Linked DNA regions of Xenopus tropicalis. The protein of the gene in region 1 purifies or fractionates together with the protein of each later gene. This does not show direct contact. Links are inferred from orthologs where the notes say so. Each region holds a gene or a part of one and is shown in the gene's direction. Other genes may lie near its edges.

Region 1 (4,181 bases):
TACCTTATTAACATTCCCCCCCACTTCATAAGTGTACCTTTTTAACATTCCCCCCACTTCATAAGTGTACCTTATTAACATTCCCCCCACTTCACAAGTGTACCTTATTAACCTTCCCCTTACTTCATAAGTGTACCTTATTATCATTCCCCCCCACTTCATAAGTGTACCTTATTAACATTCCCCCCCACTTCATAAGTGTACCTTATTAACATTCCCCCCCCACTTCATAAGTGTACCTTATTAACATTCCCCCCCCACTTCATAAGTGTACCTTATTAACATTCCCCCCACTTCATAAGTGTACCTTATTAACCTTCCCCCCCCACTTCATAAGTGTACCTTATTAACCTTCCCCCCCACTTCATAAGTGTACCTTATTAACCTTCCCCCCCACTTCATAAGTGTACCTTATTAACATTCCCCCCACTTCATAAGTGTACCTTATTAACATTCCCCCCCACTTCATAAGTGTACCTTATTAACATTCCCCCCCACTTCATAAGTGTACCTTATTAACATTCCCCCCCCACTTCATAAGTGTACCTTATTAACATTCCCCCCCCACTTCATAAGTGTACCTTATTAACCTTCCCCCCCCACTTCATAAGTGTACCTTATTAACCTTCCCCCCCACTTCATAAGTGTACCTTATTAACCTTCCCCCCCCACTTCATAAGTGTACCTTATTAACCTTCCCCTTACTTCATAAGTGTACCTTATTAACATTCCCCCCCACTTCATAAGTGTACCTTATTAACATTCCCCCCACTTCATAAGTGTACCTTATTAACATTCCCCCCACTTCATAAGTGTACCTTATTAACATTCCCCCCCACTTCATAAGTGTACCTTATTAACATTCCCCCCCACTTCATAAGTGTACCTTATTAACCTTCCCCCCCCACTTCATAAGTGTACCTTATTAACATTCCCCCCCACTTCATAAGTGTACCTTATTAACATTCCCCCCCACTTCATAAGTGTACCTTATTAACACCCCCCCAATTTCTAAGTGTACCTTATTAACCTTCAACCCTCACTCAGATAACATTAAATAAAACCGCAAGATACAGTCGGCTGTCACTTCCTCTTACACCCCCAGTTGTCCCTTGCCGTGCTACACAACATGTATGTAACCTTCCCTACGCACCATGATATCTGAGAGAAGCCATACACGCAGTTGTCACATACCTGCACACACATACTAGATAGACAGTTGTGTGTTTATCCCATCAAGCACAATCCCAGTTGCCACTTACTTTCACTCTCCATGGGTCGCGCCGTATGACGCACAGCCTGTGACATCATGTCACCTACCAGCTTGAGAAGGGGATGGTTTTCCACGCCTTTGTGGCGGCTTGACGTCATCCAAGTGCGTCCGGGAGGAGGTTAGCAGGAACCTGCCGTGGGACTGGCGCGTCGCTCGCATGACGTGTAGGGGCCTCGGTAATCTCCTGTGCGAGCCCTGGGAGCGCGGTCGTGAAGTGACAGACCGGCAGCGGCCAGACTTATCTTAGGTAGGGCAGGGATAGTGTCGGGCTGTGAGCCTTACAGAACGGATACGGAGCAGTGGGATGGCACACACACACACACTGGGCACAACCAGAGGCGGCTGTATTGTCTGTCACAAGCATCAGTAGGCATTGGTGCTTAGCGCACATACCGTGACTATGGGCCAGTATCCAGTCGGGGAGCCTCCAGCTCGTTCAATCACAAGGGACGCAGAAGGGATACTTGCACCTGAACAGCTTTTATTGGCAGCTGTGTGGCGAACCCCTAGCTCGTAAACTACATTACCCAGCATCCTTCATCAGCCAAAGGATACGCTTCAGCAACAAGTGCAGCTGGACATCTTCCTGTCTACCCCGCAAGACAGTTCAGGGAGACCTGCTTCTCCCCATTCATTTCTGGCTTTTATTAAAGGGGCAGTATACCCCCTTGTTCATTATGATTGCAATGAATAGAACTTGTGCTGATCATACTTTTTGTCTGTTTTAATCAGGAAACATTTATTGTTTTTGATGTTTTCTGTGCTAAACAGTCAACTGAAGCTCATGCATGTTTTGTGAGGCAGATCATTATCAGTGCACAAAGGAAATCCTGCCAACCTGTAAGCCAAACTAGACATAACAAAGGGTGATGGGATGAGGGTTGTTTATACAGAGCTCAGTATATCTAGATAAACTAACTCATCTAATTAATGGTAAGAGAGTAAGCATAGGAGAAAACAAATGCTTCATTTCTGATTTATTATAATGTTATCACTAAGAAATATGCAATTTTTTCAGTTGATATGTTCAATGATATGCTGTATTATTTGCATATGTTCTATTTATTTTGCTAATGTTGTATATTGGCATATACTGCCCCTTTAACACATGATCTGCATAAAACATGGTCTGCATCCAGGGTGGCACCTAGAGATTCTTATGTATAGAACTCTGGTATGGTCACTTTCCAAGAGTTGTAATAATACTGCTAGCCTACATTATTACTACCCAGTTGAAGCCTAACAGTACCAGCTGTGTTCATTATCTCTGCTTAGTGATGGGCCAGAAAGCTCAGATTGCTGGGCCTTGCTGTATAGAGCACTAAGGCAAAATAGAATTATGCTACTCCCTAAAGAAGCCACAGTGTTGACTTAAAAGATGGCTTTACAACTATTACCATGGGTAGAGAGAAGAAATATTCTATTTATACACTTTTGTGCTTCAACCACAACTTCCCCTAACTCATATTAACAATGGATCACCATATATGGGCAAAATACAAAAATCAATTTTTGGGTAATGTCATGGACCAAACACACTCCATAGTCAGAGGATCCCCATTCCTAATATAAAATGTATTGCACAAAGTGCATATTGTTCAAAAGGTGGTGGCATGCACATGGGCCACCTTTCCCCTTTCTTGGCATTTCCTGATATGTTCTGCCTGCTAGTATTATACCGGTATATTATTTTTTATTTGTTAGTAAAATAAAAACTATTCTTCTTTTAATTTTAGATTTAGCAGCTGATTTCGGCCTCGGCCTACCACCTATGAAACCCTTTAATAGCTAATTGCAAAATTTTGATGCCTGCCTCTGAGTCAGTCCCCCAGACCCACTATGCCAGCTGCAACAGTGGACCTCAGCCAGCGAATTTGCGAAGTCTGGGCTTGCAACCTGGATGATCAAATGAAGAGAATCCGCCAAGTTATACGCAAGTATAATTATGTTGCAATGGTATGTTTAGGATGTTTGTTTCCCCTCCAAAAATGTTTTTCATTTTTGAAATTGGCATTAAGAGTTCAGGAATATTTAAGATTTTATAGATTTTTGAGTCTCCTCAAAGGGGAACCTATTTACTGTTTATAAGCAATCCTTGCTTGCAGTATCTGCCACACTGCTTCCGCTGTCAGGGTAATATTATATCAACTATAGACTCTAATGGCCCAATGTTTCGTGTGACATAACAATAATAGAATAATTAATTTACTTTAATATGCAATATAAGTACTTGTTTACATTAAAATATTAATATTTTTTTTGTCCAGTACAATGGGTTCGGTTTATATTGCAGTTATAATTTTTCTAGTGTGTAGAAACAAGTCAGGCTGCTTACTGCACTTATTTGTTAAAGATATTTCTAAGTAGAACTAAAGCCTAAAAAAAAAGAATATGGCTAGAAATGCTGTATTTTCTATTCTAAGCTAATTGTAGCAGCTTTATGATAGTAAAGATCCATGGGCTCAACTGCTAAAGGTGTATGGTGGCCATGGTCTGGTAAGGTGCCTGCCATTGGGTAGGCTAGGTAGCAACTAAAACTCTTAGAATAGTGGCACACGGTGCTGTTTCAGGGACTTTGATTAACATATTTTTAAAGGAGAACTTTACTTCCGGATGGCACTCTTTGCCTAGACCCCCCCCCCACCTCTCCCATATCGCATTGTTTTCAAGTTTACACTCTGTCCCTATTGCTGACTGCTAGCTAAAAATGCAGACAAGCGCAACCGCGTACCTCGCCAACATCTTACCGACTGAAGACTCTTTGGGTCTCACAGCCGACACCTAACCTGCTTGAGAATGCGCAGTTGAAGCAGATTTCCTGCTACCTACAACTACTCATGCGCAAGCAGGTTCGTATCGGCGGTGAGACCCAAAGTGTCTTCAGTTGGTAAGAAAATGTCGGCCAGGT
Region 2 (4,087 bases), on another chromosome or scaffold:
TGACAGTCTCTCATACATACACACACACTGACAGTCTCTCATACATACATACATACATACACACTGACAGTCTCTCACACATACATACACACTGACAGTCTCTCACACATACACACACTGACAGTCTCTCACACATACACACACTGACAGTCTCTCACACATACATACACACTGACAGTCTCTCACACATACACACACAGACAGTCTCTCACACATACACACACACTGACAGTCTCTCACACATACATACACACACTGACAGTCTCTCATACATACACACACACTGACAGTCTCTCACACATACACACACTGACAGTCTCTCACACATACATACATACACACTGACAGTCTCTCACACATACACACACTGACAGTCTCTCACACATACATACACACACTGACAGTCTCTCATACATACACACACACTGACAGTCTCTCACACATACATACACACTGACAGTCTCTCACACATACACACACAGACAGTCTCTCACACATACACACACAGACAGTCTCTCACACATACACACACACTGACAGTCTCTCACACATACATACACACACTGACAGTCTCTCATACATACACACACACTGACAGTCTCTCACACATACACACACTGACAGTCTCTCACACATACATACATACACACTGACAGTCTCTCACACATACACACACTGACAGTCTCTCACACATACATACACACACTGACAGTCTCTCATACATACACACACACTGACAGTCTCTCACACATACACACACTGACAGTCTCTCACACATACACACACTGACAGTCTCTCACACATACATACATACACACTGACAGTCTCTCACACATACATACATACATACATACACACACTGACAGTCTCTCACACATACAAATACACACACTGACAGTCTCTCACACATACACACACTGACAGTCTCTCACACATACAAATACACACACTGACAGTCTCTCATACATACATACATACATACATACATACATACACACACTGACAGTCTCTCCCACATACACACACACTGACAGTCTCTCACACACACATACATACATACATACATACATACACACACTGACAGTCTCTCCCACATACACACACACTGACAGTCTCTCACACACACATACATACATACATACATACACACACTGACAGTCTCTCCCACATACACACACACTGACACACTCAGACTGGAACATTTGTGTCACTCTCCGCTTTGCCCCGCCTCCCCCTCTCTCCGCGCCTCGCAAGCCCCGCCCCCTTCCGTCTGCACGTCACTCTCTCCATACTTGGCGATGGCTGCAAGGCCGCGCTGTGATTGGCAGTTAAGCAGGGCCGTGGGTGTGGCTCCAACTTCGGAGCCGCTGACCCGGATGTTCACTCCTAGGTCCTAAGGAAGTGGAGGCGCCGCCGGGCCTACGGGGCATAGCGACTAGGAAACGGAGCCGAACCGGAGCGCAGCCCCGCCCCACCGTGACCCCTCCTACCGCGTCCGGCTCTAACCCACCGCAGCCATGGTAACAATCGGGGGAAGAAGGGGGGTGCGGGAGATGCGGGCAGGGGGTCCGGGCAGGGGGTGCCCCGCTTAGGGCTGACGTCACGGGAGCCGTTGTAGTTTGGGGTGCAGGGCCCCCCTCCCCTCCAGGGGCCACATGTACCGGCAGCAGCTCCCCTGTGTGTGAGGGGCCCGGCCCTGTAATACTTCCCTTTCCCCGCTACCCGCCGCCTTCCCTGCACTTCTGCCCCCCTGTGTATCTGCCCCCCTGTGTATCTGCTCCGGGCCGAGCGGCTGGTATGGGCAGGGTGCCGGGCTACTGGGCCGGGATCAACCTAACCGGGCTGTCACTCGGGGCATTTGGGCTAAACTGTGCCATTGGCCTGGGGCAGGCGGGGTGGCTAGGGGGTGTGGCCCTCAGTGTGCCTAGGCCTGTGCCACTCATGCCAGGGGTGTGTGGGGTCTGTGCCAGCCTGGCAGCTGGGTCAGGGGTTGGCAGGGACACAACTGGGCCCCTTTGCTTAAGCACACTTGTGGGGAATGGGTGTAATGGGGATACCCCTGAGGGTGGGAGCAGTGGGCAATTCTGTAGGTAGGGGCTATGCCAGTCAGTGCAGGGAACAGACCTGTGGGTAGAGGGTGGGCAATTCTGTAGGTGGGGGCTATGCCAGTCAGTGCAGGGCAGAGACCTGTGGGTAGAGGGTGGGCAATTCTGTAGGTGGGGGCTATGCCAGTCAGTGCAGGGCAGAGACCTGTGGGTAGAGGGTGGGCAATTCTGTAGGTAGGGGGCTATGCCAGTCAGTGCAGGGAACAGACCTGTGGGTAGAGGGTGGGCAATTCTGTAGGTGGGGGCTATGCCAGTCAGTGCAGGGAACAGACCTGTGGGTAGAGGGTGGGCAATTCTGTAGGTAGGGGGCTATGCCAGTCAGTGCAGGGCAGAGACCTGTGGGTAGAGGGTGGGCAATTCTGTAGGTGGGGGCTATGCCAGTCAGTGCAGGGAACAGACCTGTGGGTAGAGGGTGGGCAATTCTGTAGGTAGGGGGTGTGCCAGTCAGTGCAGGGAACAGACCTGTGGGTAGAGGGTGGGCAATTCTGTAGGTAGGGGGCTATGCCAGTCAGTGCAGGGAACAGACCTGTGGGTAGAGGGTGGGCAATTCTGTAGGTGGGGGCTATGCCAGTCAGTGCAGGGCAGAGACCTGTGGGTAGAGGGTGGGCAATTCTGTAGGTAGGGGGCTATGCCAGTCAGTGCAGGGAACAGACCTGTGGGTAGAGGGTGGGCAATTCTGTAGGTGGGGGCTATGCCAGTCAGTGCAGGGAACAGACCTGTGGGTAGAGGGTGGGCAATTCTGTAGGTAGGGGGCTATGCCAGTCAGTGCAGGGCAGAGACCTGTGGGTAGAGGGTGGGCAATTCTGTAGGTGGGGGCTATGCCAGTCAGTGCAGGGAACAGACCTGTGGGTAGAGGGTGGGCAATTCTGTAGGTGGGGGCTATGCCAGTCAGTGCAGGGAACAGACCTGTGGGTAGAGGGTGGGCAATTCTGTAGGTGGGGGCTATGCCAGTCAGTGCAGGGAACAGACCTGTGGGTAGAGGGTGGGCAATTCTGTAGGTGGGGGCTATGCCAGTCAGTGCAGGGAACAGACCTGTGGGTAGAGGGTGGGCAATTCTGTAGGTGGGGGCTATGCCAGTCAGTGCAGGGCAGAGACCTGTGGGTAGAGGGTGGGCAATTCTGTAGGTGGGGGCTATGCCAGTCAGTGCAGGGAACAGACCTGTGGGTAGAGGGTGGGCAATTCTGTAGGTGGGGGCTATGCCAGTCAGTGCAGGGCAGAGACCTGTGGGTAGAGGGTGGGCAATTCTGTAGGTGGGGGCTATGCCAGTCAGTGCAGGGAACAGACCTGTGGGTAGAGGGTGGGCAATTCTGTAGGTGGGGGCTATGCCAGTCAGTGCAGGGCAGAGACCTGTGGGTAGAGGGTGGGCAATTCTGTAGGTGGGGGCTATGCCAGTCAGTGCAGGGCAGAGACCTGTGGGTAGAGGGTGGGCAATTCTGTAGGTGGGGGCTATGCCAGTCAGTGCAGGGCAGAGACCTGTGGGCAATTCTGTAGGTGGGGGCTATGCCAGTCAGTGCAGGGAAGGGACCTGTGGGTAGAGGGTGGGCAATTCTGTAGGTAGGGGGCTATGCCAGTCAGTGCAGGGAAGGGACCTGTGGGTAGAGGGTGGGCAATTCTGTAGGTAGGGGGCTATGCCAGTCAGTGCAGGGAAGGGACCTGTGGGTAGAGGGTGGGCAATTCTGTAGGTAGGGGGTGTGCCAGTCAGTGCACGGCAGAGACCTGTGGGTAGAGGGTGGGCAATTCTGTAGGTGGGGGCTATGCCAGTCAGTGCAGGGAAGGGACCTGTGGGTAGAGGGTGGGCAATTCTGTAGGTAGGGGGTGTGCCAGTCAGTGCAGGGCAGAGACCTGTGGGTAGAGGGTGGGCAATTCTGTAGGTAGGGGGCTATGCCAGTCAGTGCAGGGCAGAGACCTGTGGGTAGAGGGTGGGCAGTTCTGTAGGTAGGGGGTGTGCCAGTCAGTGCAGGGCAGAGACCTGTGGGTAGAGG

The links. Proteins that work in one complex are often made in the same cells at the same time.
Region 2: the proteins of cnot7 (region 1) and capzb purify together in Homo sapiens (co-immunoprecipitation; 3 studies listed by BioGRID and IntAct, with this or other methods). This does not show direct contact. The link is inferred for Xenopus tropicalis from reciprocal best matches to the Homo sapiens genes CNOT7 and CAPZB.

The regions. Positions count from the first base shown.
Region 1 is NC_030677.2:42,300,000-42,304,180, reverse strand, and holds the start of cnot7 (CCR4-NOT transcription complex subunit 7), read left to right. Parts: upstream 1-1,377; 5' UTR 1,378-1,520; intron 1,521-1,527; exon of another isoform or gene 1,528-2,206; intron 2,207-3,009; 5' UTR 3,010-3,112; coding exon 3,113-3,229; intron 3,230-4,181. UniProt on the Homo sapiens protein: Has 3'-5' poly(A) exoribonuclease activity for synthetic poly(A) RNA substrate. Its function seems to be partially redundant with that of CNOT8.
Region 2 is NC_030683.2:129,971,436-129,975,522, forward strand, and holds the start of capzb (F-actin-capping protein subunit beta), read left to right. Parts: upstream 1-1,283; 5' UTR 1,284-1,517; coding exon 1,518-1,520; intron 1,521-4,087. UniProt on the Homo sapiens protein: F-actin-capping proteins bind in a Ca(2+)-independent manner to the fast growing ends of actin filaments (barbed end) thereby blocking the exchange of subunits at these ends.